Linked DNA regions of Macaca fascicularis. The protein of the gene in region 2 purifies or fractionates together with the protein of the main gene of each other region. This does not show direct contact. Links are inferred from orthologs where the notes say so. Each region holds a gene or a part of one and is shown on either strand. Other genes may lie near its edges.

Evidence for each region.
Region 1: the proteins of ETV6 (region 2) and LRP6 purify together in Homo sapiens (affinity purification with mass spectrometry; 3 studies listed by BioGRID and IntAct, counting the BioPlex papers as one, with this or other methods). This does not show direct contact. The link is inferred for Macaca fascicularis from reciprocal best matches to the Homo sapiens genes ETV6 and LRP6.

What each region holds. Positions count from the first base shown.
Region 1 is NC_088385.1:14,928,719-14,932,533, forward strand, and holds part of LRP6 (low-density lipoprotein receptor-related protein 6), read right to left. Parts: intron 499-3,815; coding exon 282-498; intron 1-281. UniProt on the Homo sapiens protein: Component of the Wnt-Fzd-LRP5-LRP6 complex that triggers beta-catenin signaling through inducing aggregation of receptor-ligand complexes into ribosome-sized signalosomes.
Region 2 is NC_088385.1:14,424,502-14,428,753, reverse strand, and holds the start of ETV6 (transcription factor ETV6), read right to left. Parts: upstream 3,115-4,252; 5' UTR 2,661-3,114; coding exon 2,628-2,660; intron 2,569-2,627; exon of another isoform or gene 1-2,568. UniProt on the Homo sapiens protein: Transcriptional repressor; binds to the DNA sequence 5'-CCGGAAGT-3'. Plays a role in hematopoiesis and malignant transformation.

The DNA.
Region 1 (3,815 bases), about 500 kb from region 2:
AATATCCATAGTAAGCTTTAAAATAAGGTATGTTATTCATACTATCAGACTGAATTCTTTGGATGAAGGTGTGCCTGTGCATATGTATTCAGTCCTTCAATTCAAACCTGGGTAGCTAGAGTAGTAAAGTCAACGTTTAAAAGGTCCCTTCTTAGTATAAAAAGAAGGGGGTAAAGAAGATTTCTAAATTGCCTCAAAACATCAATAATTTACACTGCTGACTATCTCCATCTTTTTTCATTCCTGGTTTCCGTTTCTAAGAAAGCTTTGGAGTTACTTACCAATCACTCGATGAACATTTGTGGCCTTTAGGCCCATGAGGTCAGGCAGCTGATCTATGATCACTTCCCTCTCTGCACTTCGTTTATGTACTCTTTCAATGCTACGCCTCTGCCAGTCAGTCCAGTAAACGTAGTCACCCAACAAAGTAAATCCAAATATGTGAGGAATTTTGTCTTCCACTAGTACTCGTCTCCCAGTGCCATCAGTATTCATAACCTTCAGGTTTAAATTCAAAAGAGAAGAGGATGAACCATGTATTTATTCTTCATGCAAAAATAACAAATCCAACTGCCTGTTGTATAAAAATCCAAGAGTCATCTTGGTATTCCTATTACAATGATTTCTCAAAATTACGTGATGATTTCATAAGAATGATTTCAAATATTCCATATAAGCCTCTATTTGACCACTTTTCCCCCCAATCTCATATTATTCGTCCTTCTAAAAATTCTGTCAACTTTAGATTATGCAACTCTTCTATTAAATGACTGTGGCAAAATTAAAAATACAGTATCATCACCTTAAGTTTGCACATTTATTTTCAAATTATAATGTACCTTCACATACATTGTTTTATCTTATGTTTTGTTTTATAACATATTTTATTTTATCCTGAGAGCTTTGCCTGTGGAAACTGAGATTCATGTAAGGTCACAGAGCTTGTAAACACAGTTGATGTCTTTTTCAGGACTCTTTCCACTTAGCGTGCTTTTTATTTTGTTGTTATTGTCAGTAACAACAACCAACAGATAAAACGGATCTCAATAATTATCTCTCATTCCTGAGATTATAATCACAAAAGTCTATCTGGATTATATGACACCCTCTCTGCATCTAAGTTTCAAGAAACTAGGATGTAACTTCTCTTTCCAACTACCTAATAGTAACATTATTAAATTCACTCTGGCATTCATATTGCATTCACAGTGCATTCACCATGCACTACTCAGTGTTGACTTAACTTGGGATACCTTTATTGACATAATATAACTAATATTTGCATGTAAGATTATATCTGATACTTTTTTGCAGGGTAGAAGCAGATATTGTTCACACGTACATGTTTTTAGTATGAAATAACATTTCTAAAGGCTAATTTGCCCAGCACACAGGCCCCTTTAAGTGGCAGAAATGGTCTCAGGTAGGGACTTGAACAATGGGACTCTGGAAGGCTTGCTCCATCTTTCAGAACAGAACAAGATCTTCTCAGTTTCTACTGCAGCATTTCCAACTGCATTTCCAGGAACATGTACTGCTACCTCATCTAAAATGTCATATACTTAACTGTACTGCTACCTCATCTAAAATGTCATATACTTAACAGTGAACCTATGTTCTGCATTAGGGACAGTTCAATCAGTCTATCAGGGAGCACCCAACACAGAGTGATAAATATTCTGTATTATACAACACTAAAATATAACTTTCTTCCAAGTTTGTGGTATGTTAAAATATGCCTGACTTGGTTTTATTCTCAGATTTAGTTCTATCTTATTTTGCATTATCTTACATGTAATAAATTACACTAATTTTGCTGATCTTTACATTCAAATGTTGGCCTTCCTATTAAAATTTGCTGGTGTAAAAGCATAAACTAGATGTCCAATATTAAACTTTTAAAGAATAACACTTATATTTCTACTTCAAAACTATTACAGGATCAACTAACAAAATCTTTTCTGTTTCAGCTATATCACTTTACAACATTTTTGTTTATTTTGATAAACAGCTTAAACAAAAGATGGATGATTAAGTATGAATTAGGAAAATGGGACTGGGTATGGTGGCTCATGCCTATAATTCCAGCACTTTGGAAGGCCAAGGCAGGAGGATCACTGAAGCCCAGGAGTTCAAGACCAGCCTGGACAAAATGGCAAGGCCCTGTCTCTACAAAAAATACCAAAAAATTAGTCAGGTATGGTGGGATAAGCCTGTAGTCCTAGCTACTCAGGAGGCTGAGGCAGGCAGATCGCTTGAGCCCAGGAGTTTGAGGCTCCGGTGAGCTATAATCAAGCCACTGCACTCCAGCCTAAGTAACTCCAGCCTAGGAAAAAAATTTTAAAAAAGAAAGAAAATAGGTAAGAATTAAATTAAAAATCATTGTGAGAAAAATAATAAATACCACAATTCCAAGACCTTTTTAGTAAACATAATTCTGTGTCTATTTACCAGTTTCCCTTCATTCTTCTATTCTCTAAAAAATTTCTCATGATCAGCAAGTAATACTGTGGCAGAAACAGATTCAAATATAAGCTTTATCACTCAGTGGGTACCCTTAAGCAAGTTCTCGCAAATAAAATAGGGACAGCGGGCTAGGCACGGTGGCTCATGTCTGTAATCCCAGCACTTTGGGAGGCTGAGATGGGCGGACCACGAGGTCAAGAGATGGAGACCATCCTGGCCAACATGGTGAAACCCTGTCTCTACTAAAATACAAAAAATTAGCTGGGCGTGGTGGCGCACACCTGTAGTCCCAGCCACTAGGTAGGCTGAGGCAGGAGAATCGCTTGAACCCAGGAGGCTGAGGCTGCAGTGAGCAGAGATCGTGCCACTGTACTCCAACCTGGCAACAGAGCGAGACTCTGTCTCAAAAAAAAAAAAAAATAGGGACAGCGCCACTGCCATCACTGAATTAATTAAGGATCAAATAAAATAATGCTAAATATATAGCACAGTATTAGGTGCACTACCTGGCAAACACTGGTTCCTGCCCTTTAAAATCATTTTATTAAAATGCTTTAGTTCCTAAATGTAAACAGCTACATGATTGTATTTAATTATTTAATGTAGTGCTTCAAAATAAAAATACGTAAATATAAAAGAATACATGAAAATAAAAGACCAAAACAACCACTCACTGTTAAACTGGAGACAAAAACCAAGAGACCTTTATCCTGAAACCAGTAGGAAACTACACAGCTACAGCCTCCCATTTCCTACTCCCATTTTTATTGTTTACTTTTGCTAGTTAGATATAAAGTAACTAAAACAGTAAACAAAAAAAAGCAAATATTTGACAATTTCATACGAGTACACTTTTGCTGCTCTACCAGACCCCTAATTCACTTCCCCGCAAATCAAACAATATTAGTAAAGACATCCAGTAAATGCAAATCACCATGATAGACATGATGAATGCTGAGAAGTTTGAACAGGGCCTCTTCTAGCTAAGGTATTACAATCTAACTGGGGAGGTAAACGATATTTACACTAAAATTACACAAATATCCCCTCTCTGTAAGTAATCAGGAAAAACTTCAGGAAATAATAGGCGTTGAAATTCATCTTGAAGAATTAGAATTTTGACAAAGAGAAAGAGAAAAAGATTTTCTAGAATAAAAGAAATAACATGAGTAAAAAACAGTATAAAACAGTAGACAGAATTTTAATAATATACTTTATTTAATCTAACAAATCCAAAATTCTTTTCTCTCAACATGTAATCAATATTAAAATTTTGTTAATGACATCTATGGTTTTTTTTTTCTTTATACTAGGTCTTCTTAGTATGTGTTTTACAATTAAAGTACATC
Region 2 (4,252 bases):
CTTTTTTAACAGAGCAGGCAATGCTCAGAAATAAACAAAGTACTTCCCTCTGTGGCTGCCTCTGGTCAGGCTACTCTGTGCTGCATCTCACCAGCCGCTGAGGAACTGTCTGCCTGCTGACCCACTACTTGTTAGGAATGAAAGCAAGTGAGGACGGTTTCAGGAGTGGAGAGAAGGAGTGGGAGAAATCTCTCCATAGTGAGAGCCTTTTGTGTCACATGAGTTTGGTATATCAGGTTCATCAGCTCATCCTTGAAAACCTCTAACATTTGTTCTTCACTACACAGAAAAGCGTATTGTTTACTGGACTCTAGCAGCAAGCAACTTGCTTGTGGGTTACCAGCAAACATTTTTTATTATGCAGTCACCGTACCACATCCCAAGGACTAAATGAAACGCAGCACACATCACCAGAACATTTCAGATGACCCGGAATAATCCCAGTCCTTGATCTCTAGTGCTTATTATTGGAACATTGTGAATTAAACAAACTCCATGGAAAGATACTTTTCACATACGTTCACCTAGACACATGCAGTCTACGCAAATACACACTGGTTCCATGAAGAACAATCCAAAATAAAAGTGATTCTTTCCTTTCTGGTAAAGAACATTAAATCTATTTTAATTACATAGAAGTACACAGTAATGAAAAGAGGCACCCTAAAAGAACTGAGTTGTAAGCAATAAGGAAAAAATGATATGCAAATTATAGACACAATTTTCATGTTGCATTTAAGAAAGCGTTTTGCTTGGGATTGGTTCTGTATGTGAGTAAGGCAAAGGGCTGTTGTACTCTTTTTCCGACTGGAGCACAATGAAACAAACCACTCAGTAGCAGTCTGCAGCCAGCACACCACCATAAGCCCATCAGAACGGTGGGGATGCAGTTTAGAAGAGAATCAAGAAAGGTCACAGAAAGCATTGCTTTTTGTTGTTTTGTCCTAAAGTTACTGATCTGTAACTGGTCCAGATTTTCCTGATGTTGGGTTTATTGCCACTGAGCTAAATACAATTTATTGATTGAATACCCTAGTCTTAAGTTACCTCTATGTTATGAAGCATCAAATAAATCAGATTACCTATACCGCAGGATTTTCCTGAACTGGGTGTAGAATCTAATTTATACCACAAAAGAAACTGGTTTTGAAGTATTAATATCAAAGTACCCCAAGTTCTTTAGTGTGGCACGCCCCATGCCCACAGACATACTGCTACCTCCAGATATGTACAAACACAAAAGCGTAAAAGTTCCATTGGGCATTTTTGTGAGGCAAAAACAAAGAAGCCCAACACACCTTTTGATTTCACATTAGCCTCTCCTCAAACCCATGAAAATGTTTTCTGGTAAGAAACACCAAAATGTGATTCTAATTATTAAAAACCTAGTAAGCCTGTATGATGAACTACTGCGTTTCCCCTACACAGATTCTAATTGAAAGGCAGTGTTAAAACAGGAAGGGTTTTTCTACAGACGAAGAAAACAGGTTACTTGTCCATTGTTGCTGTAATGTCCATTCAATGAACATACATTAAATAGGCCAAACCAAAAACAAAACTTCAGCAGCTTCAGCCTCTCACAGGGGCGGAAGGCTTTCTACCTGGGTACTGGTGGAATAGTGAAATGAATAAAGTGTACAATAAATGCAGCGATGGGAAAAATAACTGGGGTAGACGGATAAATCATCCTGCCTCCCAATGGTGGCAAACTTTACAACAACTTTTCAGAAGCAACAAACCGCAGCACCACAGTCTTTACAGATATATAGACATGCATACACACAACTACTGGGTAGCCCAGCAGTGTGTTTACAAACATCCACCGCCCTGCATTTACAATACTGCAAAACCGGCCAGAAAGCTGGGAGGGTGCTGCTCTTAGATATCCTCTCTGCACTGTCAAACACAGAAGGTCATTTTGCCTGGTTTGCTTAGTTCTTCCTCTCCCTGCATCACAGGAGTTTTCTACTTTGGGATTGCTCAACTTTCATATGGATCAGAGTAAAATAACTATTCAGCAACTTTATTCACCTAGGTTAAAAAAAAAAAAATTCATTGTGCAATGCCTAGGAAAAGCTGACACCAGGACTGCCTCTCCGACAGCACTTGCAATTACAATCAGACGAGGGGGAAAAAAATCATGTCTGATCAGACCCAGAGAGTCCTTTAAAAAAATGAAGAAAAAGATTCTATCGCAGCTGGGACTGAAGAACTTTTTTTCTAAGAAGACCACCCCTCGGGGACAAAAGTTACATTTCAGTCACATGTTGGGTGTAGGAATAGGGAGCAGGTTTTTGGGGGTTTTTTTAAGCGCACTAATTACGGGGGTGTTTTACAGTTCTGGAGACAATCCGGGTTGCTCCTGACCAATTGTGACCGGCATTTCATTGTCAAAAAGCAAGAGGGTGGGGGCCGAGGAGCCGGCAGGGGCTCGGCGGTGGGGAGTAGCAAGGTTACGCTAAAGGGTACAGCCGCCGCCGCGAGCTGCATCTCCTTCCCTCGCGCCCCAAATAATTTACTGCGAACAGAGCAACTGCAACAGCCCGCTCTGAGGAGCCCAGCACGACTGCCCTGGCCGGTGCAGCTCAGGGTTTCCACCACGGAGAGGGAGGGGAGAAGATTTTTACCTTAATGCTACACTGAGCAGGAGTCTCAGACATGTCTCACAGCGAGAGAGATCAGGAAGTTCTCAGGTTTTTTCCACTTTCCTTTCCTCTCCCCAACCCAGAAAGGCTCCACGGCCAGCCGGACGCGGTCATTTAAGAAGTTTCTTCCAGCATCTCTCCCGGCAGCCGCCCCGGGGGTCTGGAGCGCGCGGGGCGGGGCGGGGCGGCCGGCGGAGTTGGGCGCGCGGGGCGGCGGGGGCGTGGGAGCCGGGCCCGAGCGCGGCGGCGGGGTCTGCAGGTCGCGGCGCGGCGCGGGGACCCGGGACGCAGCCCGGCCAGCCTCCCGGTCTCTCCTCCCACCCGCAGCCGGCGCCCCCGCCCCCCGCCCTCCCGCCGCTCTCCCTCGCTCTCTCGAATGTTTTCCTTCCTGGAAGAGAGAAACTGAAAGGCAGAACTGAGAAAGCTCTTTGCTCATTGATCTTGAGAGTTTCAGTGCAGAAACTGACGTGAATTCCCAGCACTGAGCTCTGCCTCTTAAAGGAGCCACCAGGAAATAAAAGCTCGGGTTACAGCCCGGCATCGGGGAAATAAAAGCCGCGCGGGGGAGGGGCGGCCGCGGGGGCGCGGGCGGAGGAAACCCGGGGAGCGGGGCCGCGCCAGGCCGCGGCTGCTAGCGGGGCGAGCGGCGCAGCCCCCCAGGCCGGCCCCCGGTGCGGGCGCCCGCCCTCCACGCCGCGAGACCTCCCGCTGGCGGAGCCAATTTCCGGGCTTAAGGAAGACACCTTTAAAAAACGTTACATCGTGGCCCCAGACACCACAAAACAGGTTTTATTAAACTCCTCCCACCTCCCCTGGCTCCATCTCTTGGATACATCGATTTGCACAAGGGTTTTGAAACGTTTCCCTAAGCGCAGATGCAACGAAAGTAATTATCTATGAAGGGCCATTCCGGTAAGGACGCGGAATCCGAAGGAGGAAATAAAACAATAGCCTTTGTTCTGCTTCTCGACCGCTGCCTCTTTAAGAGAATCCACCAGGAAATGGGAGATCGGGTTACAGCCTGCACACGGGGAAATGTGGGGAGAGCGGGCGCCCGAGCGCGACGCCGGAGACAAAGCCGGGGCGGCCGCGCTGCAGACGCTGGGGGACCGCCGGGCGGGGGGATTCCCGGGGAAGGTGGGCGCCCCGGAAAGAGGTGGCGCCGCGCGCCCGCTTGGGGATGCGGCGGCCGCGGGCGCTTCCCCAGCCGAGCACGCGCTCCGGGACGGGAAGGTTGCAGGGCAGTTATCAAAGGCAGCTGAGTTCCTTTTCCTGATCTCCCCCTCCTGTTTCGAAATCTACTGCCCTTTTAAAGAAATAGCGGCCGCCACCAACCGAAATAGGTGACTCGACTACAAACTTGGCAGGACGTGTTCCTGCAGATAATACCCCTCCCCAGGACCGCTTCTGTGAAACCGTCATTGGCCGGTTGATTGGATGGCCCTGGGATCCTGCAGGGGGAGGAATATTTGGTTGGAAAAGCAGTTGAGGGTGGTTGAGGCCGTTGGGACTGAGGGGTCTAGCCTTGAGCACAAGTGGTCTGATTACTTTATTATTTTTATTATTATTTACAGTCTCTTAAATTGCCCTGAAGTGTCCACCACAAA